3 linked regions of the Elephas maximus indicus genome follow. The protein of the gene in region 1 purifies or fractionates together with the protein of each later gene. This does not show direct contact. Links are inferred from orthologs where the notes say so. Each region holds a gene or a part of one and is shown in the gene's direction. Other genes may lie near its edges.

Region 1 (7,720 bases):
ATCCCAAGATCGGAAAATAAGCTGATAGCTCAAGTCCCAAGAACCAGAGGTCAGACGAACTGGAGGCAGCTGCAGATCCACAGCCAGCAAAAAGCCAGAATATCTGCTTATATTCTGATGCAGGCCACACCCCCAAGGAAACACCCCTTCCACTGATCCCCTACTCACAACAGATTCCATCATGGGAGTGATCACATATAAACACTGAGAATCAAGGCTCACAATCTTAACCATCACATACTTCTGTGAAACTAATGAGGCAGGATTAGGGGCAGTTTATGTTAATGAGGCAGAACTCAGTCTACAAGATTAGGTCATCTCTTAAGTCAGTCTCTTTTGAGATATAAAAGAGAAGCAGAGAGACAGGGGACCTCATACCAGCAAGAAACAAGAGCCAGGAGAAGATCACATCCTTTGGACTCAGGGTCCCTGCATTGAGATTTTCGACCAGGGAAGATTGATGACAACGACCTTCCCTCAGAGCCGACAGAGAAAGCCTTTCCCTGGAGCTGGCACCCTAAATTCCGACTTCTAGCCTCCTAGACTGTAAGAGAATAAATTTATCTTTGTTAAAGCCATCTGCTTGGGGTCTTTCTGTTATAGCAGCACTAGATAACAAAGACATAGCCCTTTACTTGACGATGGGAATATTCTATATCTATATTGTCCATAGGTTCACCACTAGCCACATATGGCTATGGAGCACCTGAAGTGTGGCCAGTGTGACTGAGGAACTGAATATTCAATTCTATTTCATTTCAATTAATTTAAACTTAAATAGCCACATGTGGCTAGTGGCTACCCTATTAGACAGTGCAGCTATAGGGTTTTCTGAACTTAAGTCATTCACACATCACCTTAATTATCTTTGCCAGATCTTTGAGCCACTAATACTATTCTTTCCTTACTATTGTTCTTTTCACTGACTCAGCTTTAAAACTCAAATAAACATATTTAAAAAGATGATTTTATATGTGAAAAGGTGCTCAACATCATTAGTTACCAGAGAAATTAAAACCAAAATGAGGTACCACTACATGCCCACTAGAGTGACTACAATAAAAAGGACTGACAATATTAGGTGTTGGTGAAGATGTGGAGCACCAGGCATTCTCATACACTGGTGGTGGAGGGTAAATTGTTACAACCATTTAGGAAAAAAGATGCAGGAATTCCACTTCTGGAAATATATCCAAGAGGAATGAATGCATATAGTCCTCAAAAGATATCCACAGGAATGTTCAAGGTAGCTTTATAGCCATACAATTGGAAGCAACCCAAATTCCATTAGAAATAGAATGGATAGATTGTGGTGCATTCATGCAATGGAATACTATATAGCAAGGAAAAGGAACGAACTATGGCTACATGCAATATCGTAAATCGATCTCAGACATCATGTTGGGTGAAAGAGGCCAGAGGTAAAGGAGTATAACCAAACCCAGTGCCTTCGAGTTGATTCCGACTCATAGCGACCCTATAGGACAGAATAGAAGTGCCCCATAGAGTTTCCAAGGAGCGCCTGGCGGATTCAAACTGCCATCCCTTTGGTTAGCAGCCATAGCACTTAACCACTACGCCACCAGGGTTTCCATAAAGAGTATACACTGTATAATTCCACGTGCATGAAATTAAAAAATGGGTAAAACTTAGCTATATGATAGAGCTCAGAATATTGGTGACATCTGGAGGGGGATATTGACTTTGAGTAAGCTTGCAGGTGCTATAAGTGTTCAATATCTTGACCTGGGTGGCAGTTACACGGTAGATACATATGTAACATGGATACTATAGATACCACCACCAGTTGCCCTCAAGTCAATTCTGACTCATAGCATCTCCACGTGTGTCAGAGTTGAACTGTATTCCACAGGGTTTTCAATGGCTGTTTTTTTAGAAATAGATTGCAAGGCTTTTCTCCTGAGGTGCCTCTGGGTGGACTCGAACCACCAACTTTTTGGTTAGTAGCCAAGCTCACTAACCGTTTGCACTACTCAGGGACTCCATACTATGCATACCAAAAACAAAAAAACATGGCCTTTAAGTTGATTCCGACTCATTACTGTCTGTAAACTATACCTTCCTAAAAAAGAAAAAAATAAATAAAAAGAATAATAAAGGAACAATGGTTCCAAAACAGGTGAGGGGGGAAGACTTTACAACTATCTTAAATAAAAATAAAACACATTTCAATACACGTTAGTACATGCAACCCCGAAAATACGTTAATCTATGTGCCACTGAAATTATTCACGCACACCAGGAACTCAAACACCAGACTTTGTGAACACACTACGAGGTTTTTATGTGGGCTAGTGCTGGGATGCTGGCAACCAGGGAAGAGCTGGGGCCAAGTGGCAAAGGTGTAGCTAAGGCTTATGCCTCCTCACCAGCCTGGGCTGGGTCATGGAATGCTGAGGATCTGCTTCAAGGCTTATGCCAGAAACTAGAGGGGGTTGGAGGGTTGGGAAAGAGGACAAAGAAAAAGGGCCAAGGGCAAATTCTCTCAGCTCTGGCCCATAGCCCAAGTCCTAGACTTGGCCCATAGCCCAAGTCCTAAACTCCTGACCTCATCAGAGATGCAATGGATGTAAAACAAGCCAATGGGTTTCCAAGTAGGAAGAGTGCCAGCCATGATTTTTGCTACCCAAGGAACGAAAAATCAATAATAATCATTCTTATGATTCATGTCTATCCTGTTTTGTTCCAAAGCACTTTACCGAAAGGTCCCTTGGCCCAGCCAAGAAGTTCAGGACCAGGACCCAGGACACCTGGACTCCAAATCCGTGTGTGAAATAGTTGGAATTTTTGGGGGGTCTAAGTTTTTCCCAATGTCTTTGTGGCAAGTGACATCTGTAGTCTATTTTACAGTTTTACAAAATTTTAGCAGAGTAAATAGGATGGCTAGTCTAATTTTGCAGATGTGGAAATTGGAATTCTTAAGAGGGTGGTGAAGCTGGGACTTTTGAGTTCAAACTAACTCTTTGCTCTTTCTCAGTCTAAACAGAAGTTAGTCCGTGCTTCACTCTTTAGCACAGGAGAGGTGTCTTGATCAGACACAAAATGAATGCCCTGCCTGTGTTCCGGGGCAGATCTGGGTCTGTGGAGCCTGAAGCTTAGACAATTTGAGGTAGGCGCTCTTTCAGGAAAATACCAAATGTTAAACACAAAATTAAGTACAGGGCTTTTGGCCCGGCTCTGCCAGGGAGAGGCCTTGAAGCTTAAGCTTCATTAGCATGGTGTGGCAATGGTGAAGCATTTGGTTGTTAACCAAAAGTTTGCCAGTTCTAACCCACCTTGCTGTTCCACGGGAGAAAAGCCTTCACGGTGGGCTCCCTAAAGAGTACAGCCAAGAAAACTCTATGGAGCAGTTCTACTGCGTCATATGGGGTCGCTATGAGTTGAAATTGACTCCATGGCGCCTAACAACAAGAACAAAGTGCCTTCCCTGCATGCCCTGCCCACTAAAAGCTCTGGACACACCAGATCTTGACAAGGATTTTCCTCCCTATTTGTGAAACGTGGCAGATGTGGATGTGGAAACCCTGGGAAGAGGATCTCGTTTCTCCCAGGAGACAAGAGGAATTACAGCAGCATCGAGGCCCTGTGTGAGGCTGGAGTAGGCTGTGTGCCAGGGGAGAATCCAAAGGGGCTGGTGACCCAACTGGCGAGTCGATGTGGCAGTAGCAGCTTTGGAGAGGGCCACTGGCAACTGGGAGCCAGGAGCGATGGCGCTGCCCGTGCAGCGAAAGCACAACCCCTAGGCTGGCCTGTGGGAAGCAGGCGTTCTTCAGACTGTTTTCTGGCTCCCTGCGTCCAGATAACCCTTCCTCGGAGCAGGGAAGGCCGAGACCGACAACGACAGCCGGCGGCAGTGGGGGATGGATGGTGGTCGGCGCCCAGGCCCTTCCATCCCCCGCCCGCAGGAGGGTGGAGTGCGGGCGGCCTGCGAGGGACCTTCCCCGCTGCGGCTCCGGCGGCGAGGCCGGGGCGCCGGGATCCCCTCGCGGTTCCCAGCCGCCGGGGTTGGGGGGGGCAGCGCCCGCGGCCTGCTTTCCCAGGGCTGGCCAAGCCTTTTTGACAAGCTGATTGCGTGACGGGGATTGGCTGGTCCCGGAGTGACGCCGGTAACAACAAAGGTGGAGTTGGAAGAAATTAGATTAAAGGAGAGAAAAAAAATTAAAGGGGGAGCTGGCAGGGGACGGGAGGAAAAGACCGAGGGGAGAAGCGCGAAGCGCGGTCTTCCTGCTCCGACTTCCCCCCGGAAGCCCTTCGGCGCCAGCCGGCCAGGATTTTGCTCTCTACCTCTACCCCGGCCCAGCGATCGAAGCCGGGGTAGGAGTGGTGGCTGCTACTGCTCGAAAAATTCCCCCACTCCCATCCTGACACCCCTCGATACGACCCAGGGGGAGAACTTTTTGCTCGGACTCCTCGAATCCTAGCTCGGCGGAGGTGGAGGACGTTGAAAACGAGAGGCTCGCTTTAAAACCCGGAAGGCCCTCGCGGGTTTTAAAGCAATCGGACGACACGGGGTGTTTCCCCGGTTTTTCGATGTGTTGCAAATCTAAGAAAAGCGTCTTTTCTTTTTTTTGTAACAACCCCTCTTCGCTTCCCTCCCCCCCACCCCTCGCTTTGGCTTCAGGGTTGCAAAAGCAAAGAGCAATAAAAAAAAAAAAAAAAAAAAACCGCGCACACACTCAGACACACACCAGTGGCGACAGGGGAGAGTTGGGAAGACGCAGGAGAGAAGCAGGAGGCAGCCGGGGAGGGAGCAATGGGAGCGGGAAGCAGGCAAGTTCCCTCGCAAATCCCCCTCCGGCCCTACGCCGGCCGCCTCGCCGGCTCCGGCAGGGGAGCGAGGAGCCGGGCGAGCAGATGGAGAAGTGGAGCTCGCTCTAGGCAGCGGGCTTGGCCGGAGAATGGAGGAGCCGCCAAGCGACCGGCTGATTGGAAGAGAAACGCAGCGCGATGGAGGCGGGGGTAGGAGGACGATTTCTCTGCGGGGACTGGCGGCGGCGTACACGCCCGGGTCGGGCGCTGCAGAGCTTGGCTAGCTTTCAAACCGCGCTCGCCGGCTCCAGCCCCACGCGCCCCCACCCCAGTCCTCCCGGCGGCTCCGCAGGTGAGTGCGAGCTGGGGGCAGAAAGACCCGGAACAGTCTCCGCACGCCCGCCCTGGAAAAAAAAAAAAAAAAAGCAAAAAAAAAAAAAGCATTTTTCTTTTTCTATTTTCGTGCAGCCCCCAGCGCGGTGGGAGGGAAGGGGTGAGGCTGAGCCGCCCGAGGAGGCGGAGGGGCCAGGCGAGGCCGGGGTGGCCCGGGAGGCGGCGGCGCCGAGGCGGCTCTGACGGGCAAGCGCTCCGAGCGGCGCTGCGCTGCGCCGAGGCGGGCGGGCGGGCGGAGCGGGGCGGGCGGAGCGCGGCGCGTGGGGCTCGCCATTAGCCGTCGCTCCGCTTCGCCATCGCGGGCTTTGTCTGGCGACTCGCTGCCCCAGCGTCGGCTGCAGCGGAGCTGCGGCTCCGCTCCTCGGCCCGCCGCGCCCCCAGGTGCCCCCGGTCGGCGCTCGCACCCACACGCCCGGTGAGTGAGCCCTGGCGCCGCGGGATTTCGGGGGAGAAGGGTTGCCGCGAGCGGCTGCCAATCTCCATGCGCCGGAGCAGGCCTGGGGAAGCCATGCCGGGCTGGATTGAACCGGCTCCCAGAGCGGTTCCTCCGCCGGAGCCCGTCGCCCCCTCGCCGTTTCCGGGGTGTAAGAACCAAAAGGGGATTTTTTTGCGGGGAGGGTGTTTTGTGGGCTTTTTTTAAGTTTCGTGTGTGTCGTTCGGCAGCGTGGGGACCGCGAGGTAGGCGAGTGCCGGAGCCAGGCGCCGCGATCGCCGTGCGTGCGTCCCAAGCCGGCGGCCACGCTCCGGGGATAAGGGTGGGCGCTGATCGCCCGCTCCGGGAGACGGAAGCGGGTGAGAGCTGGCTTGGGAGCCCGGGTTGGCGCTGGGAGGATTGGCGGGAGCGCTCCGGAGCGGGGCCACGGGCACCCCGAGCCTCCCTGGCCGCCGGGGGGCCCTCCGGGCACTCTCACCGCGGCGCGCCTCGCGCCCTCCCTTCCGCGCCTGCTGAGCCTGCTAGTTTCCCCGCGAGTCTGGCGAGGTCGCTCTCGGCGCCCGCCCGCCCGCCCGCCTCGGCTCCGAGCCCCGCCGCCATCCGGGCGGCTGCGTGTCTCCCTGCCCGGCCCCCCCTCCCCGGCGGCAGCAGTAGCCGCCGCCGCCGCCACCCCCCTCCCCTCCTTCCTTCCCTCCGCCTCGGCCGCCCGGGTCCCCCCAGCTCCCGCCCCTCCTCCCAGCTGCCCCCCGCGGAGCCCGCCCGGGCAGGCTGTGGGAGGGAGCGGAGCCGGCGAGGCGGGCGGGCTGGCGCTCGCTCCCCGGGGGTCGGTGTGCGCTCTACGGGGAAGGACGCGCTCGCTGCCCCGCTTCGCCCGCCCCCTCCCGCTCCTCCTCCTCCCTTCTCCCTCCTCCTCCCCGCTCCGGCGGCGGAGGCTGCGGCGGCGGCGGGGGGTGTGCGAGCTGAGGCCGGGGCCGGCGGGCGGGCGGCGGGCGGGCGGCGGGCGGGCTGCCTGCAGGCGGAGGGCGCTGTGCTTTGTGCTTTTCGCCGCGAGGAGCAGCAGGCAGCAGCCACAGCCGCCGCCGCCACAGCAGCAGCAGCCGCCGCCCCAGCGCCGCCGCCGCGCCCGGAGGAGGAGCCGCTGCCGCCGCGGGAGGGAGCTGCGGCTGTGCCCGGCCGAGCGGGGGAGGCGCCGCTGCTCAGAGCCGGGGAGGGAGCCGCGGGAGCGGGAAGCCTGGAGGCCGCGCTGCGCCGGGTAACCGAAGCGGGCCGAGGACGCGCGCCAGGGTCGGGGCCGGGGAGCGAGCCGCGGGCGCGGGGGACGTCCGGCGGGGACCCGGGGCGACCTCCGGACAGAGGACTGGGCGAGAGCAGACCAGGGCACTGGGGAGGACGCCGAGAGCAGAAGGAGGGGAGGACAGGAAGCGAGGCCCGAGCCGAGCCCGGGCCGCGGGCGGAGAAGCCCGCGCTTCTCCGGGCCGGCAGGCGCAGTTCTCGCCGGCCGCCGGAGGGGGCGGCTGGGCCGGTGAGCGCTGCGCCCCCGCCTCCCGGCCGCCGTCCTCCCGCCCTCTCCTTGGCTCGGCTCCCCGGAGGCCGGGGCGGGGGCGCCGGCGGGGCTGGGCCGCAGGCTCGGGGGAGGAGGCGGCGGTTCCCGCCGCGGTCGCGCCTCTGCGCTGGGCTCCTCCGTGCGCGTCGGGTGGCTGGGCGGTGGCAGCGCTTCTGGCCGGGGTGGGTGGCTCGGGGGCGGGGGGCAGGCTAGGCCGCTTCTCTCCGGCTGCTCGCCTGCCCGGGCGGGCGAGGACAGCGGCGGGACCCCAGGAGGGGGGGCGGCGGAATCCGGATCCGGTCCCCGGGGGCGTTGCGGCCGCTGCGCTCCGGGGCTGGCGGCGGCTGCGCTGCGTCCGGGTCCCCGCCGGGTTGCGGAGGCGGGGGGAACCGGCCGGGGGGGAGGCGGGAGGAGGAGACTGGGGCGCGTGCCCGCTCCCGCGGCCGCGCGCGCCCTTTACCCGCCCTTCCTCCTCCCCCGCCCTTCAGCCTGGGGCCTCCCCGGGGCGGGCAGACAGAGGAGGAGGAGTTTTTTTTTTTTTTTTTTTGGCCGGGGTGGGGGAAGGAGGGTGGAGGGCGGGC
Region 2 (7,619 bases), on another chromosome or scaffold:
CATGTTTCCCATATTTTCTGCAAGTTCTCGCCTTTTTTTTTCCTACTTGCGGAAATGACAGCATTAGAAGATGAATTGTCCCAATAATTATAAGAAACATAAATTACTTATATGGCTATATTAAACAAGTATGGATCACTCTGCACTTCAAAGTACAGTCAGAGAAAAAAGAAACAAAAACTAATCTCATAATTAAAGTGTTAATGACACATGAAGCAACGTGCTAAAGCAAAATAACATAAAGGAAGGATTCAAGGACCAAGTGAAAACAATTAAAAGAAAGAAAATCTTTGTAGACAGAAGCCAACACAATGCCCACACACGCCTAACAAATGAGGTATAATATATCAGAACGTAACAATAAGTTGCAATGAATGTTATGAGCTTCTAACCTGCTAGGTATTCATTAGAAGGATTAATGTCAATATCCCTTACTAGAATTTTAAGAATCTACTTTGAGACTTTATAAAAAAGTCAGAGAAAAGAGAAACAAACAAACAAAAAGGCCGAAGTACAGTGAAGGGGGAGAGAGAACAGAAAGTTAGTTTAGTACTTTCTCTTTTGGCATCCAATTTCCACATAATCTCACATTTAAACTGAGATTAACAATTAACCAAGTCAAACGGTTCAAACAATCAAGGAAATGGTGATGCTTTGGGATTTTATAAATTTAATTAAAATAGAAACAAAAAATACTCCCATAAAAATTGCTACAAAGCATCGCCCTACGCACAACCACCACCACACACGTGTGTGCAGTTCTGTATGCAGGCATACACCTCACTAAAATAAGGAAATGGAATTAATCTCTTGTAATCATAATTTAAAATACTAACAAAACTATACTTATTTTACTAATATAAAAAATTTACAAGGCATCAATATAAGGCCCAATAAATGCTATGTAAGTTTGAGCAGCTATATATCAAAAATAAAAATAAAAAATAAACTGTCACATACCAAATTGAAACAATAAATTAAAAAACTTTTGCGAAAACCTCATAATCAGTGAGAACATATTAAGCCAAATTAAGACTCCTATAGTTTATAAAATTCCCACATCAAGGCTTCTGCTCCTATTGTTTTCAATTAAAAGAAAAAGACACTGGTGACAAATAGAACTCTAACACAATCCTAAAAACAGATAAACAAAAAGCACGGAAACAAGAACGATATTGGTAAAGGAAAAGTAGTGTATTAAAATACTATCGTTAGTTCAGGAAAAAAATTCAAATGGTAACAATGAAGACATACGTAGCACTTAAAGCAGTTTATAATGTATTATTTGTAAACGTTTTGGTATCTTAAAAATTTCAACCAATTCTGACAACGTTTATTAAATACAAAGTAATGGGGAAGCAAGACACTAACTTTTTGACTTTTTGCAGTAAGCTGTATCTCATTTCCGTAACATTAAAGAACATAATTTACACAGTAGACCTAAACTTGCTGCTTACTTAAACATAGCAGATGCTAACATACCTCCAGCAGGATGAAGTTGTGAAGGTCTTAAAAAACAAACAAACAAAAAAAGTCCTGTGGTTTTCATTTGTGATTACAAACATGGATACAAATCTATAATCAAGAGGTTTATTTGCACATTAGCTTTTCTGAATCAATCTCTCTTCATCACACGTAACAAGCTATTTTGAATGAAACAAACTGTCAATTATCAAATGCGTACCAGTTATCAGTGTTGTTTTAAAATTTCTACCACAAAAAAAGATATATTTTCAATTTAGGAAAAAAAAATTATGTGTGGATAATAAATATGCAAACTTTAAAACACATAATTTCGCTATCTTTCTCCTGCCAGGCTGTGATCGGCCTCACGCAAGACCAAAAGGAAAGGACCTATTAAACAATATCTACCAAACTCTTCTGCATTGAGTGATGATTCTGACCCAAAGATTTTGTGCAGGAGGGTAACCTGCAATAAGAGAACAAGTAATTAGAAGGCACATTGATGTTAAAAATTACTCCAGTTTTCATGGACCAAAGTATACATAAGACAAAAAGAAAATAAGGAAGAAAATACTCAGCAAAAAGTTGGGGTTGTCTGAATGTCAGAGAACCCTGATGCATAAACAAAAACCTTATCCTAAAGGAAGAAAATCATTTACTTATCAAACTACAGCAGTTACCCAAAATTTTCAATTGCCTCACTCTGCTATTACATGTGCAGAAGAGTTTAAACTTCCATAAATTATGAACAAAACCCTTCTTTTATTTACTTTAGATACTAATTAGATATATAGATCATACCAGCACCTTATTTATGAAATAGAATACCCAAATAATTTATTTTCTCCCTTTTACGTGAATAAGTGTGTTAAATGAAAATTGTTGCTTCTCGATATAAAACCTGATTATACACAAAATCAGCAGGATAAATATGTGCTTAAAAGAAATCATTAAAATGTATGAAAAAGCTCTGGACATTTGAAAAAGAGATTAAAATAATTCCTGTGTCATCCCAGCATGTTTTGGACAAATCAAAAATTTTTGTAAAGAAATTTATGGACATATTTGTACAGCAATAGCAGATAATGAACTGTGCTAAGAACACCACGTGCAGGGGTATTTTAGCTCTAACACCCTCCTGAGTATTTCCCCAGCCCTTATTATCCCATTGTACACCCCCAAAAATGTTTTGTAACTCACTGTCTCCGCCCATTCTCCAAGTCATTGACTTCACGCCACTCCTAGTTACTATCACACTAGGAAGAAGTCTAACAACTGAACACACGCAAGTTCAGTGTGGCGTGGATAAATCGCAAAAATGCCTAGAAAATTGGTATGTTCGGCTTTATAATTTTTGTTGAAAAATACCCCTCGCTCTCAATTGATGAAAACAGGAAGCCCTATTCATAAATATAAATTTCACTGCCTATGATATACAATCATCCTAATAAGAAAATGAGTTCTATACATACATGTCCAAAGGGGCAAAAAAGGAGATAGTTTCCCAAAGATGTTTCCAATTTTCTTCTGAATCAGAATTAGCAAATCGAGACGACTAACATACTCTGTCTGTGTGCATTATTCCTCACTACACACAGCATTTTGTAATTTATTTCAAAGCTTCCATTATAAACAAAAAATTCAGCTTCTCTTAACCCACTCCATCCTGAGCATATAAAGTCTAACACTGAACAATCTAAGTCATAATGTAAGTATTTTACTTTATGAATGCATAAGATTTGCTATCAAAGACTCTGTTAAAGTTAATGGCGCCAAATAAACTGAAGAATTCTACAAAATGAATGCATTTCCTTGAAAGATAATAATTGTACTACAAGCATAAAGAAAACTAAGACTCATTCAATAAACTATCTTACAATTCTTGCCATTCATTTTTATAAAACCCTCAAATTAGTTGTGACGTAAAAGTATATGTGATGTTACAGTCAATCTTTATTGTAGAGACGTTGCCATCTAATATTGATAATCCATAAGCTATACAGACATAAATTAATATTTGTAAAGGTATCTCCAGACTAACACTTTCATGACAGCCAATTACAGTCCAGCCCAGCAAGCAGTTCACAACCAGACCTTAAGAAAGGTAAACTTTTTTTTTTTTTACAATGAGTTACAGACTCACAAGTTTAAGAAAAAGAAAAACAGAAGGAATCCAGCCACCCAGCAAATATGAAGCAGACCCCAGAATGTGATACAATCCAAAGATGTAAATTATTGTAAATCATCACTGTTGTTCAGAATTTCGCACAGCCACTTGAGCCAAATTTTGCTCACTCTTCCACAGACACAATAATAAACTAAAAGGAGGAGGCAAAAAAAAAAGGGGGCGGGTGGGGGGGTGGGGTGGTAGGAAGGAAAGAACAGAGTTCTGCTCTACAGATGCTTAACCTTACAGGAGTTTGGGCTCCTTCAGCATTTGTATTCTATCCAAATCCTCATGAGTCACAAAAATTAAAAAGCTATATCCTTCTGGATGCCAGGAAGGGCCTTACCACAAGCCTTTTGTCAGAGAGAGAGAGAGAGAAAGAGAGCAAGAGCAAGGGGGAAAAAGCCACAGTGGTAGGCAGTCCCACTTTACTTTGAGTTCTGTGAGGTCACAAACCACATGATTCTGTCTCTCCAGTAATAGTGCTTGCAAAAAAAAGGAGTTTTAAAGCTTTTGCTTTTTTGGATTGTGTGAATGCTTCATTCGCCTCACAAACAACCACAGAACCACAAGTGCGGTGCAAACTTTCTCCAGGAGGACAGCAAGAAGTCTCTGGTTTTTAAATGGTTAATCTCCGCAGGTCACTACCAGCCACCGAGACCAACAGAGTCAGTGAGTGCTCTCAAACCACAGTCTATGCAGTAATAGTAGGGCCTTCAAATATTTGCTCATTCTCTTTTTGTTTTGTTTCCCTGCTTTTCACATGTTACCAGCGACATAATTTCTTGACAGAAAAAAATAAATAGAAAGTCTATGTACTCCAGGCATACTGTAAAACTAAAACAAGATTTGGGTATGGTTTGTGTTTTCAGTTTAAGGCTACAAGCAGTATTTACAACAGAGGGTACAAGTTCTATCTGAAAAAAAAAAGGAGGGACTATGGCATCAAACAGCCTCTTCAGCACTGTGACACCATGTCAGCAAAACTTCTTTTGGGGTAAGTGTTATCATATTTTAAAATACTATAAGAGATGAACCTGTTAAACATAAAGCTATATGTCTTAGATAAAGTGCTAGCTCTTGAAGGTAACAGTATATTAAAGATCAAAATAATGCTGTATTGTTGCACTAAAATACTAAAAGATGAAATTGCTATACATATTTGCATTTGGCATCTGCCACTTATCTAATTCTCAGAGTAATGGCTTGAAATATTCAAAAATAAGTTACTTCGCATTAATCAAAATGTCTTCTAGAGTTATGGAAATGAGAATGCTAAAACAGTAAAAAGAAACAGCTTAATATTGTCTTTAACCCTCACTGGAATAAAACTAGACACTAAGTTAATCAAAGTATTATAAATTATTGACTCCGGCGGCTCCCAATATTTGAGCAAACTTCAAAAAGGAAGCAATTTTACAAAATAACAGACCACAGAATTATCCCAACATTATGCTCTACCATGCAAAACAGAAATAAGCCTACAGTTAACATTTGAACCAGCTCGACTAAAAGAAATCTATTTACAATTTTAAACTGCTTTATAAGGTATCTGCACAAGTCTATTTCTAAACAGCTTTATAAAACTGAAGCATATATTCAACTGAAATAAAATTATAGGTATACAATAACCATTTTTAAAAGATCTTTACAGTTGCCTAGAATATTAAAAAGTTCAGAGAAGTCTTTAAAAAATTACATGCAATTGTGTTTCCTATATAATTTTATTTTTACATCTAGACACTATTATCCATTTGTAGAACTTGTTATAAACACATAACAAACACTGAAACGTCTAAGATTCTTTTAATCACATTCTTGGACCTACCAAAATGAATACCATTTAGTCTCATGAAAAATAAAGCTCCGTAAGGATACCCTGCTTGATTTAAAAGAGCCATACCTATTAAATCAAGCTGGATTTTAAAACATGCATAATATAATCCCTTAATACCTAATTTCAAGTTAGTGTTGATACAGATATGTAAACTATTTTAACATCTGTCTGCTGCCATGGTATTATAGTAAAAATCTAAGCACTTACAAGATTTTCTTTATGATGTCCAACATGCTCCAACTATAATGCAAGTTTCTAAAATTTTCTTACATCCTTTAAAATAAATCCTTTTGCTGTGTATACCTATATTAACATTGCTTTGTAACTTACAACTAATGATTGGGGTTTCCTTTACTCCTCCTACTTCACACACATTTTAACTGGCTACTACTTGAGGATCAGTCTTAGTTTAGGTCAAAGAGAAATAATTAAATCTGAAGGGGGGAAAAAGGGTTTCTTTTAAACAGCGAGGAAGTGTACTTTGTATATTACAAAAAATGTAAAATTATTGTAGTGACCTCCTCAATAACCATAAGTGGACCCCCTCAGTTATAATGCATACAATAATCACAAATTATTTTTTAAATGTAATGGTGGGTTTTAAGCATTAATCTAAAAACTTCTATATTAAGAGAGCAGAACATAAATACAACTAGACTGTACTACATCTTATAATTACAGCTTATACATGGGAATTTTTAGTCTTATTACCCAAGAGATGAGAGGAAAAAAATGGTTAAAATCATTGTCATATAGAGAGATAACAAAACAGGCATATCAAGCAGTTAATTTTTAACAATATTACTCTATTAAAGAGAAAAAAAAATACACTTTTCTAACTATATTGGGAGCACCACGAGTTCCAGGGAATACTCCAGCACTAGAAGTAAAGCTATTATTATTGACAGAGAGAGTAAGTTAAAATGGTCTTATATTTTCTATCAGGTGTCTTATATTTCCCTGACATTTTAATAACCATTTTTACATTAAGATTTCTGAAATTTGATCAAGTTTCTACACAAGGGATAATAGTGAACTGAGCAGATAAAGGTCATCTTCAATTGCCTGTCATACTTTTGACTAAACATTGCAAGGAATCTTTTTTCTTCTGAAAGGCGGATTTCACTCCCCCTTCTGCCACCACAGTGCCTTAGAGCCTGGATAGAGAACTTAACATGAACCCCCAGACCAACCTAATTACAGGGTGGGCAAGGGACATTATGTATAGGTTATCATCACACTGCAAACATTTTCCCATTCTATAATCTATTTGAAGTCTAAAACTTCACTTCAGGTTTTAAATTCTTATATGATGATTATAACCATCAACAATGAAATGTCAAAAGCACGTGCCCCGGCTTTGTGAAGTAGTTAAAAAGAAAGCTTAGGCTTTTCCTAGGTGAGGGACAAAGCATACCGTTGACTGACAGCCTCTCCTTAAATATAATGAAGTGTGTAGTGCGTGCATGTGTGTGTGTGTGCGCGCGCGCACATGAGAAAGATAAAATCTGTGTCCTTGCTCCTCCAGAATACCATTTACCTTGAATTAATCAATAATTTTCAAAATCTGTGAGCTACTCAAAATGTTATTTATCATAAACAAAAGCTATAGAAAATGATAGATGTGACTCATGTAGTTCTACAATTAAGAACTTATTTATGAAATGGTATCATCTAACTAATTAAATTTCTACATAAAATCTTTGTATCTGACCGTAGTAATTGACTGCAAATGATGTGTGAACACTGATTTCCGAAACAATAGTTGTGGTCCATATTAGTAATAATAGCTTTATACTGTCAAGATTTACTAGTGATAAAGTGTCCTAACTTGCTCCTAAAATAAGAGTGCTACATTCCAAAATAACAGGGAAAAGAATTAAAAAGTCAAGAACATAATGAGAAGGCTACTCTACATATATTAAAAGCTAGCAATGTCAACACAATTCCCAAAAACTTGTATTGTAAATATTTTAATTTATAATAATCCTAATTTTTAAAGAAAAATTGTTCACTTTTAAATTTTAAAAATATTTTAAAATGTCAAAGATTTAAAAGAAATAACAGGGAAAAAATTTTGTTAGTCTGTGTAAATCACAAGAAAGGCGTGAAAGTCTTTAAATCACAAGGAGGGCATGAAATATACATGAT
Region 3 (8,019 bases), about 21 Mb from region 1:
GTGCCATGGGAATGTGCCACCCTGAGGGAGTGCCCCAGGTGAAGCGGGGCAAGGCACAGCCAGAGCGTGCTGCCCTGACCATGTGCCGTCCACCACAGGTGAAGCGGGAGCCTGGCGAGAATGGCACCAGCCTGACGGACGAGGAGCTGGTGACCATGTCTGTGCGGGAGCTGAACCAGCACCTGCGCGGCCTCTCCAAGGAGGAGATCATCCAGCTGAAGCAGCGCCGGCGTACACTCAAGAATCGTGGCTATGCGGCCAGCTGCCGCGTGAAGCGGGTGACACAGAAGGAGGAGCTGGAGAAGCAGAAGGCGGAGCTGCAGCAGGAGGTGGAGAAGCTGGCCTCGGAGAATGCCAGCATGAAGCTAGAGCTTGACGCCCTGCGCTCCAAGTATGAGGCCCTGCAGAACTTCGCCAGGACCGTGGCCCGCAGCCCGGTGGCGCCGGCCCGGGGCCCCCTCACTGGCGGCCTGGGGCCCCTTGTCCCTGGCAAGGTGGCTGCCACCAGCGTCATCACGATAGTCAAGTCCAAGACAGATGCCCGGTCGTAGGGACGTGCGCGCCCCGGTGGGTCAGCGAGGGGCCGCCAGGCACGTGGTGAGCTCGGCAGTCCTGTCCCCCTTTCTTCCCTCTTCCTCTCTGTTCCTTCTTCTTCCTCTCAACTTCCTTCCTGCCCTACAAAGCACAACCTCCACCAGGCGGGTGCCGGGCTGAGCCCCATTGATTTTGTTGTGTCCTCGTGTGTCTTGTACGTTGGGATTGGTCAGTTTGGTGGTGATGTTGGGTCACCCCTTGCCCCCTTGTACCAAGGCTGTGTGGGCTTAGAGTCTGCCCCGTGGAGGTGGACGAGGGAGTGGGAGAGAGGTGGGACCTGTGTGTCCCTAAATAGGGGCCCTCCAGTAGGAGGCCCCTGACTGCTGCCACTGGTTGGAGGGGGGCGCTGCGTGACTCCTTCTAGACAGACCCGCGGGCAGCTTGGCCCCGCTCTGAAGAGCAGGTGTGCCCCCTGTGAGGCCCCTGCGGGCTGAGCCCAGCTGGGCCCAGCAGCCAGGACATGGTGAGGCTGTGGGCCACAGGTGCAGCGCTCGGACCTAACGTATTGCACTGAATGAGACCAAAATCACTGGTTGTGTGCGTCTGTGAAGGGTGTGTCCAGTGTATCCTCTCGGTGGGTCCTGTGTCACTGTTTACATGATCTGTTTGTGTGGTTAAATAGCCCTGAAAAGAGAGAGTAAGTTCCTTTTACGAAGTTATTAAATTATATGTTTAAAAGCTACAGAAAAAAAAAAAGCTGCAAAGTATTTATAAAACTGTCTTTTTAAAAAAAAAAAAAGAAAAAAAGGCAAGAAGAGCATTTGACCCTGTCAGTGGAAAAGGGAAGAAAGCGTAACAGAAGCTTTGGTAGTTCAAAAAAAGAAAAAAAAAGCCCTTTCTTGTAAATTTATGGACAACTCTTTGTGGCTGTTGGAGTTTAGTTTTTATAAACACAGAGTTATCAGACATTATTTATAAAACTTAGTTTAAAAAAAGACAGAAAAAAGAAAAAAAAAAAAAGCCAAACCGCGAACCCCCCCAGGCGCGTCCTAACGTCCCCTTTGATATCTCTTTTGCAATTGTACCGAAAGTGACTTAGGCCTTGCCCTATCTGCTTCCGTCTCTTGCCGGTGCCGTGGTTTTGTTGTGCCTGGTGAGGTCTTGTGTGGCCGTAACGTGCTGGTGCTTCTGGTGACCTTTGACCTGTGGGTGTCACTTCTCGTATCTGTTCCCCCGTGTTTGTTTTTGGGACTTGGTTGTGATCTTGCACCTGCTGGCTTGCCGGGCCAGGGTGCTGGGCAGCACGGCCTCTCCTTCTTCCCACGCTACCCTGTACCCCTTGGTGGCCTGGCCTTGCTCTAGGTGTATGTTGGATGCAGACACTGGGCTCTGCTCCCCACCCCTGTTGACCCTCAGCTTCCTGCGTGTGCGTGTGTGTGAGAGTGCGTTTGTGTCTCTAGGACTTGGGCTGGGCCAGTGACAGGGCAGGTGGAACTGGGGGCCTCTCAGTGGCCTCCCGTACTGCCTCCATGTCCACTGCCTCTGGCCTTGGGCGGTGGCCTGGCAGGGACCCAGGAGTCACTGTGGGTGCCCATGGGGTGTGGCCCAGCTGCCCCATCTGTCTTCCTCATTGTTTCTTATCAGCAGCACAGGTCTGGCCTCAGCTTTGCTCCTGGGCTTCCCTCGTGACCTCTGTCAGCTGCTGGGCCAACACGGGGGGCTATGACCCCACCGCCCACTTGTCCCAGAAGTGTTTCAGGGCTGGGGTGGTGCTTCCCCAGGAGCAGGGCTTCTTCGTATCCCTGCCTCGCCCCAAGGGCCTGGGGAGCGGGTCTCTATCAGTGCCAGCAAGGGCTATGACCTCAACGCTGGGCCCTTCCCCCCTCCCCCTGTGCAGGCCTACAGCTCTCAGCTCCAGGCCCTTCTTCCACCTCCCTTTGGGATCTTTGTCTTCCAGGGACCAGCTGCTTGGCTTTCAGAGGCACTTCCGCTCAAGCCAGGGCTGCTGCCTCCCCATGCTGGCCACTGGACGGGCAGATGACCCTCCAGCCTTGGTACGGGAAGCTCCTGGTAGGGTGTGTTGGGTCGGCTCACAGCATGGCCTGAGATGCTGCAGCTCTGTTTCTGGCCACGGGGGCTTGGCTTCTCCCAGGGTTGCTGGCCCGTATCTCCAGAGCGCTAGAGAATACAGGTGAGGGTTGCTGAGGAGAGTAAGAAGCGAGGCGGGCACCCGGGACAGCCTTGAGGCAGTGGTGTCTTGTCAGCGAGTGTGGCCACACACGTGCTTGCGGTCGTGGCAGGCACGTGCCATACATGGTGTAGCCTCTCTGGGGCTCTGCTCAGATGCTCCTGGCTGGCCCACAAACAGCTCTGTGACTCCAAGTCCCTCCATGGTTTAAGCCCTCCCTGGCGTCGGGCTTTGTCCCTCTCGGGTCCAGGCTGCATTGCCAGGGTGGTGATGTAGCAGTGAGTTCCAGCTGTATCACCAGGAGCCTGAAAGAGAGGGTGTGATGTGGTGGAGCGAGGAGGACAGACCTTCCATTCCCTTGCTCTGTTCTCACTTTTGTCATTGGCGTGGGAGCTTGTCGTCTATCTCTAAGTGCCTCTGCAGGCCACATACGGCCAGCTGGGAGAGCAGAGGCAGGAAGTGGGTGAGGCGAGGAAGGGCTTGATGGTGAGCATTGTGGCAGCAGGTACCGGTCCTTAACTCAGCCTGTGGAAGAAGCTGCTCTGGAGTGAGTGACATCGTGAGAATGCCGTGCTTGCATTCATGGTGTTTGGACTTGAAGCCACTGTTCTGGGTCTGCGGGAGCCTTCCCGTCCTGCCAAGCCAGCCCTAAGGGGCTGCTCTGCCCCTCTGCCCCTCTGCCCTTTTCCCTTGGTTTCTTGGCACTAGATCCGTGTCCACGTGTAACTGTTTTGTGTCTGTCTAATCCTTTGTTGATTGAGTTTTCTACCGTGAACGTGTTGTGTTCTGTTTTTTCCTTTCTCTCCTGAACTTTCCTGACACAGCGAGTCGAGGCTTGGGCCGAGGCCAAGTCTTCAAACTTGTCCGCTACGTAAACCAAGATGCGCATCCCTTTCTGACCCTGAACTTGCCCCAGCTGCACCCTTATCCCAACATGGACACTCGGGTTTCTGAAAACAACCCTGAAGTAACAGGCCAGCTCTGCTCGAAGTGTCTGACCTCACAGGGCCTCCCCATCCCCAGCTGCTGCTCTTTGGTGGTTCTGTGTGGCACTGGTGTATTTGCTGGGCACCTGCCCTCCCTGGAGGCTGGAGGCTTTTCTGCTCTGGGTCCGTGCCTCAGGTCTGCCCACTTGTCAGCATCCTCTGGTCTCAGTGCCTGGCCATAGCACTGACTAGCCACAGCCTGCCCTGGGATACCTGGTCAGGCCCTGTCTTGCCTTGCTGCCTGCCTCTCTGGAGTGGCCCCTTGGCTGTACCTCCCTCTCGACAGCTCCCTGTCTGCAGCTGGAAAGCCGAGCCACAGCCTGCAGGGCTGTTTCCGCTCTGGGATCTTGTGAGTTATTTTTTTAGGCTGTGGTTTGGTGAAAGGAACCAACACATTAACGATTTTTCCCCCCAGAAGCCACTGAATAATTCTTTGTGTTGCTTGTTTTCTTCCTGCTGGCTATCAGTGGCTTTGGAGCAGCCGAGGAGTGTGGAGGACATGGTGGGTGCCATGCGGAGGTGGGAGTGTGCCCGCGGGACTGCCTATAGCCTGTTCTGCTATGTAGTATGTGTCCTGGGCAGGTGGGGCACCTGAGTGCCAATGGCACCAATTTCTACCCACCCCTAGGAGTAGCAGCCTCTACGCACTGGGTGTCTTGTGGGTCGGAGCCCGGTGGACTATGACATCTCCCAGTTCTGGGTGACGCCAGTTGGGTTTTGGCCCCCTTAGCCACCTCCTGCCCTTCCCCGCCCCCTCCACATCCCTCACCCTGCTTAGTCCCGAAGCCTTTAACCAAACGGGAGTGGGTACAGAAAGCTCCTCCTGGCAACTTAGGGCAACAGGACAAGGGCTGCCTGGTGTCCGGCTCTGCCGCCCTTGTGGCGCTGAGAGGGGTCGGAGGGAGTTGGTGAGACCCTGCCCAGTGCTGTGGCCGGGACGGTGGGGGTTAGAGCGGGCTGGGCTGGCCGGGCGTGGGGCCGCCGCTCGGGGCAGCGGCCGGCCTGCGGCCGCCACCCGCCCTGCGCAGTATTTATTGCTAAATTATTGTCCAGGAGGGGCGGCGCTGGGCCGGGCCCCCCGGGTATTTATTGCTGTACATAGTGTATGTTTGTGATATATAAGGTTTTCTTTATTTTGTATATGATCAATAAACACCTTTTAAAGAGACTGGCAGGTGCTTCTTTGCGGCTGGGCTGGAAGGTGCGGGCTGATGGGGCGGGGCCGGAAGGGGCGGGGCCTGACGCGCGCATGCGCCTGGCACGAGGCTGCCGGCGAGGCGGAAGCGGAAGCGCAGGTGCCGGGGAGCGATGGCAGCCGGCGGTCTGAGCCGCTCCGAGCGCAAGGCGGCGGAGCGAGTCCGGAGGCTGCGGGAGGAGCAGCAGCGGGAGCGCCTCCGCCAGGTAGGCCACCGCCCGCGCCCCGCCCGGGCCAGGCCCCACGCGACCCTGACCGCTCGCCCACGCGTCCGCAGGTGTCCCGCATCCTGAGGAAGGCGGTCACTGAGCGCAGCGCAGAGGAAGGTCGGCTGCTGGCTGAGAGCGAGGACCTAGTGACAGAGTTGCAGGGCCGGAGCCGGCGGCGCGAGGGCCTGAAGCGGCGCCAGGAGGAGGCGAGTCCCGCGGGCCGGACGGGCGCGGCGCTCCGAGGGCGTGCTTCTCGCTCTGCGCTGGCCGGTCCGGGCCACTCGGTTGGCCCGATGCCCCGTCGCCTCTCCTGAGGTGACAGCAAACGTGGGTGCCGGCGTGGATCGGAGGAATGGGAGCGCTTCGTAGTCCAGAGCGTGCTTCGTGTCAGGCCTCGTTCCCAGCGTGTCTCAGACGGCATTCCTGCCGTAGCTGTCATCTGCCTGGGATTGCTTGGCCCGGCTTTTTCAGCTCCTGGGGTGGGGGGCAAGAGCGAAGGATAGGGCCATGACCAGTCTCGGCGTCTTCGCAGGTATGCGATGACCCGGAAGAGCTGCGGAGGAAAGTCCAGGAGCTGGCCAGCGCCGTCAGGAACTCCAAATACTTGGTTGTCTACACAGGCGCAGGGATCAGCACGGTAGGGACGGGTGAACAGCTGCGCCCCGGGTCACCCCACGCCCTCCGGACTCTTCCCCTAACCCGTTGCCGTGGAGTCGATTCTGACTCATAGGACTTTTCCTGGCCCCAGAGAAATTGAGAGCGCGCGCTCCATGGGTCACGTGGCTGCCGGTCCCAGGGGTGGCCATGGGGCGCCCTCTTCTGGGTGACGCACCCCAGAACAGAGTTCAGCACTGTAGACTGGGGTGAAAAACAAAATAGAACAGCTGTAAAGTGTTTTCCTTTCTTAGAGAAATACAAACGGCACTGCCTAACAGGGAGCATAAAACTCCCAACACTATAAAGATGCTGGAACTCTGTTACACCTGGTTAAAGACAAGAAAAGCAGAGGAGAAAAAACAGGACATAACAGCTTAGTGCTTGCAGGTACTTCCTCATTTGCGGTGAAGGAGGTTAACCCGTTGGCCCACGGTCATGTAGGCAGAGCTACCCCTGCAGCTGACTCCTGAACCTGGCTTCTTCGTGGTTTCTACACGTTGGAGGAAAATAGAAAGTGAGACTGTAAGGATGCGAATCCTGATTTTTTGAGGAGCTGTGGGACATGACTAGCTTTGGAAGTGTGACTGGCACATACTCTGTCTAATACGATGGTTCTGTGTTGAGCGTCAGGCACGTGTCACCCCACAGAGGTGAACACCAACTGATTCCTGTTTTTTGAGAAACCTGTTGTTAATGTGACAAGGCGTGTAAACAAACAGTGGTAACGTGGAGTTGAATGTGTGAGGGGGATGTGACAAATCCAGGCTCTGCACTCGGTGGGGTCAGGGAGTGGGGAAACTCAACTCAGGTTGGCTTTTAGGGAGAGGTGGCCTTGAACTGGGGTAGTGAGAATGTGGAAGGTTCTCGGTGATCTAACCTGTGAGCACCTGGAGCCCAGGCAGTCAGGCTTCCCCCCTCCCTACCAGTCAAATGTACAATTCAGTCATGTGGTTACTGAAAGACAGGACTGTGGCCTTTTGGAGAGCTATCAGTGGTCCTAAAAGCCAGGTGCTGCTCATTAGTGTGATGGGAAGGCAGGTCCTTCAGCCCGGAGAGCACAGGCACCTGGGTTTTGGCAGCCTTCTTTGTCCTTTTCTCTCAGATAGGCTCGTTTTCCTGTACCGGAAACTTGGGAAACAAACTAGCATTTCTTCTCATCTGGAGAGATTGTCCTGGTTTTGTTAAAGTAGAACAGGAGCCTCTTAGAGATAAAAGGATCAGATGTGTAAGAATTTGGACAGAAGAGCCTTCCCACTTAGGGGTCCCCCACTTGCTGGTGTTTCCTGAGTATTGGGCTCAGCCTGGGGACACTCAGAGGAGCTGAGCAGTGCTTCCCACCATGTGGAGGGCAGACATGGCAATACAGCAGAGGTTTGTGGGTGGTGCTAAGGACTCCCAGAGTGGGTGGCCTCCTCCAGCCTTGAAGGATAAGCTGGGTGCAGTGGGGAAGGGGGAGTCTGGGAAGGCAGGAGCCACGGGTGGTACACCCGTCAGGCAGGTCAGGCGCTGGGTCTGTAGGGGAACAGGCAGTCATGGGCTGGCCCTGAATGAGGCAGGAGAGACGCCTGCTTCGTGTTCTTGGAAATTCAGTTGGTCCCGACAGTGAGACCCTTTTACCAGACTTGTTTTCTTTCTGGACATGCAGGCGGCTTCCATTCCAGATTATCGGGGCCCCAATGGAGTGTGGACGCTGTTGCAGAAAGGGAGAAGTATCAGGTAAGCAGACCTCAGCCACCCACTCCACCCCGGGGCCACTGAGCAAGAGAGGAGGGCAGGGCAGAGCAGCCTGACCCTGCAGCACCCTCACCTCACTCTTCCCCTGACCCGGCAGTGCCACTGACCTGAGCGAGGCCGACCCGACCCTCACGCACATGAGCATTGCCCGCCTGCATGAGCAGAAGCTGGTAAGCACATGGGTGGGCAGCACACAGGAGCCTGGGGAGGAGCAAGGCCAGTTTCGGCCAAGGCTCCTCTGCTCTAATGGCCTCAGTCCCAGAGCTGCTATGGCCCCTGTCCTCATGCTCACTTGTGTTACCCTCGCAAACCTCAGACACAGCCCTAGTCACAGGAGGCGGTTCACAACGAGTGGGGGAGGGTGGTTTCACCTGGGTCTGGAGGGATCTGAGACAGTGACCCAAGAGTGTGCACTTTGGGCAGAGCGACCCCCGCCGTCTGCCTCACTGGAGCCCCGAGTTCCTTCCCAGCTAAGAGGGGCGCTGCTATCGCTTACCTCCCATTCGTGCTTGAGCC

Evidence for each region.
Region 2: the proteins of UBTF (region 1) and RUNX2 purify together in Homo sapiens (co-immunoprecipitation; 3 studies listed by BioGRID and IntAct, with this or other methods). This does not show direct contact. The link is inferred for Elephas maximus indicus from reciprocal best matches to the Homo sapiens genes UBTF and RUNX2.
Region 3: the proteins of UBTF (region 1) and SIRT7 purify together in Homo sapiens (affinity purification with western blotting; 3 studies listed by BioGRID, with this or other methods). This does not show direct contact. The link is inferred for Elephas maximus indicus from reciprocal best matches to the Homo sapiens genes UBTF and SIRT7.

Annotation. Positions count from the first base shown.
Region 1 is NC_064837.1:50,744,100-50,751,819, reverse strand, and holds the start of UBTF (nucleolar transcription factor 1), read left to right. Parts: upstream 1-4,713; 5' UTR 4,714-5,122; intron 5,123-5,488; exon of another isoform or gene 5,489-5,578; intron 5,579-5,865; exon of another isoform or gene 5,866-5,955; intron 5,956-6,762; exon of another isoform or gene 6,763-6,848; intron 6,849-7,235; exon of another isoform or gene 7,236-7,321; intron 7,322-7,720. UniProt on the Homo sapiens protein: Recognizes the ribosomal RNA gene promoter and activates transcription mediated by RNA polymerase I (Pol I) through cooperative interactions with the transcription factor SL1/TIF-IB complex.
Region 2 is NC_064819.1:109,904,284-109,911,902, forward strand, and holds the start of RUNX2 (runt-related transcription factor 2), read left to right. Parts: upstream 1-4,555; 5' UTR 4,556-4,570; coding exon 4,571-4,628; intron 4,629-7,619. UniProt on the Homo sapiens protein: Transcription factor involved in osteoblastic differentiation and skeletal morphogenesis. Essential for the maturation of osteoblasts and both intramembranous and endochondral ossification.
Region 3 is NC_064837.1:71,705,568-71,713,586, reverse strand, and holds the start of SIRT7 (NAD-dependent protein deacetylase sirtuin-7), read left to right. Parts: upstream 1-4,986; 5' UTR 4,987-5,016; coding exon 5,017-5,109; intron 5,110-5,180; coding exon 5,181-5,318; intron 5,319-5,644; coding exon 5,645-5,749; intron 5,750-7,414; coding exon 7,415-7,485; intron 7,486-7,600; coding exon 7,601-7,673; intron 7,674-8,019. Other genes in the region: transcription factor MafG, read left to right, coding at 99-551. UniProt on the Homo sapiens protein: NAD-dependent protein-lysine deacylase that can act both as a deacetylase or deacylase (desuccinylase, depropionylase, deglutarylase and dedecanoylase), depending on the context. Specifically mediates deacetylation of histone H3 at 'Lys-18' (H3K18Ac).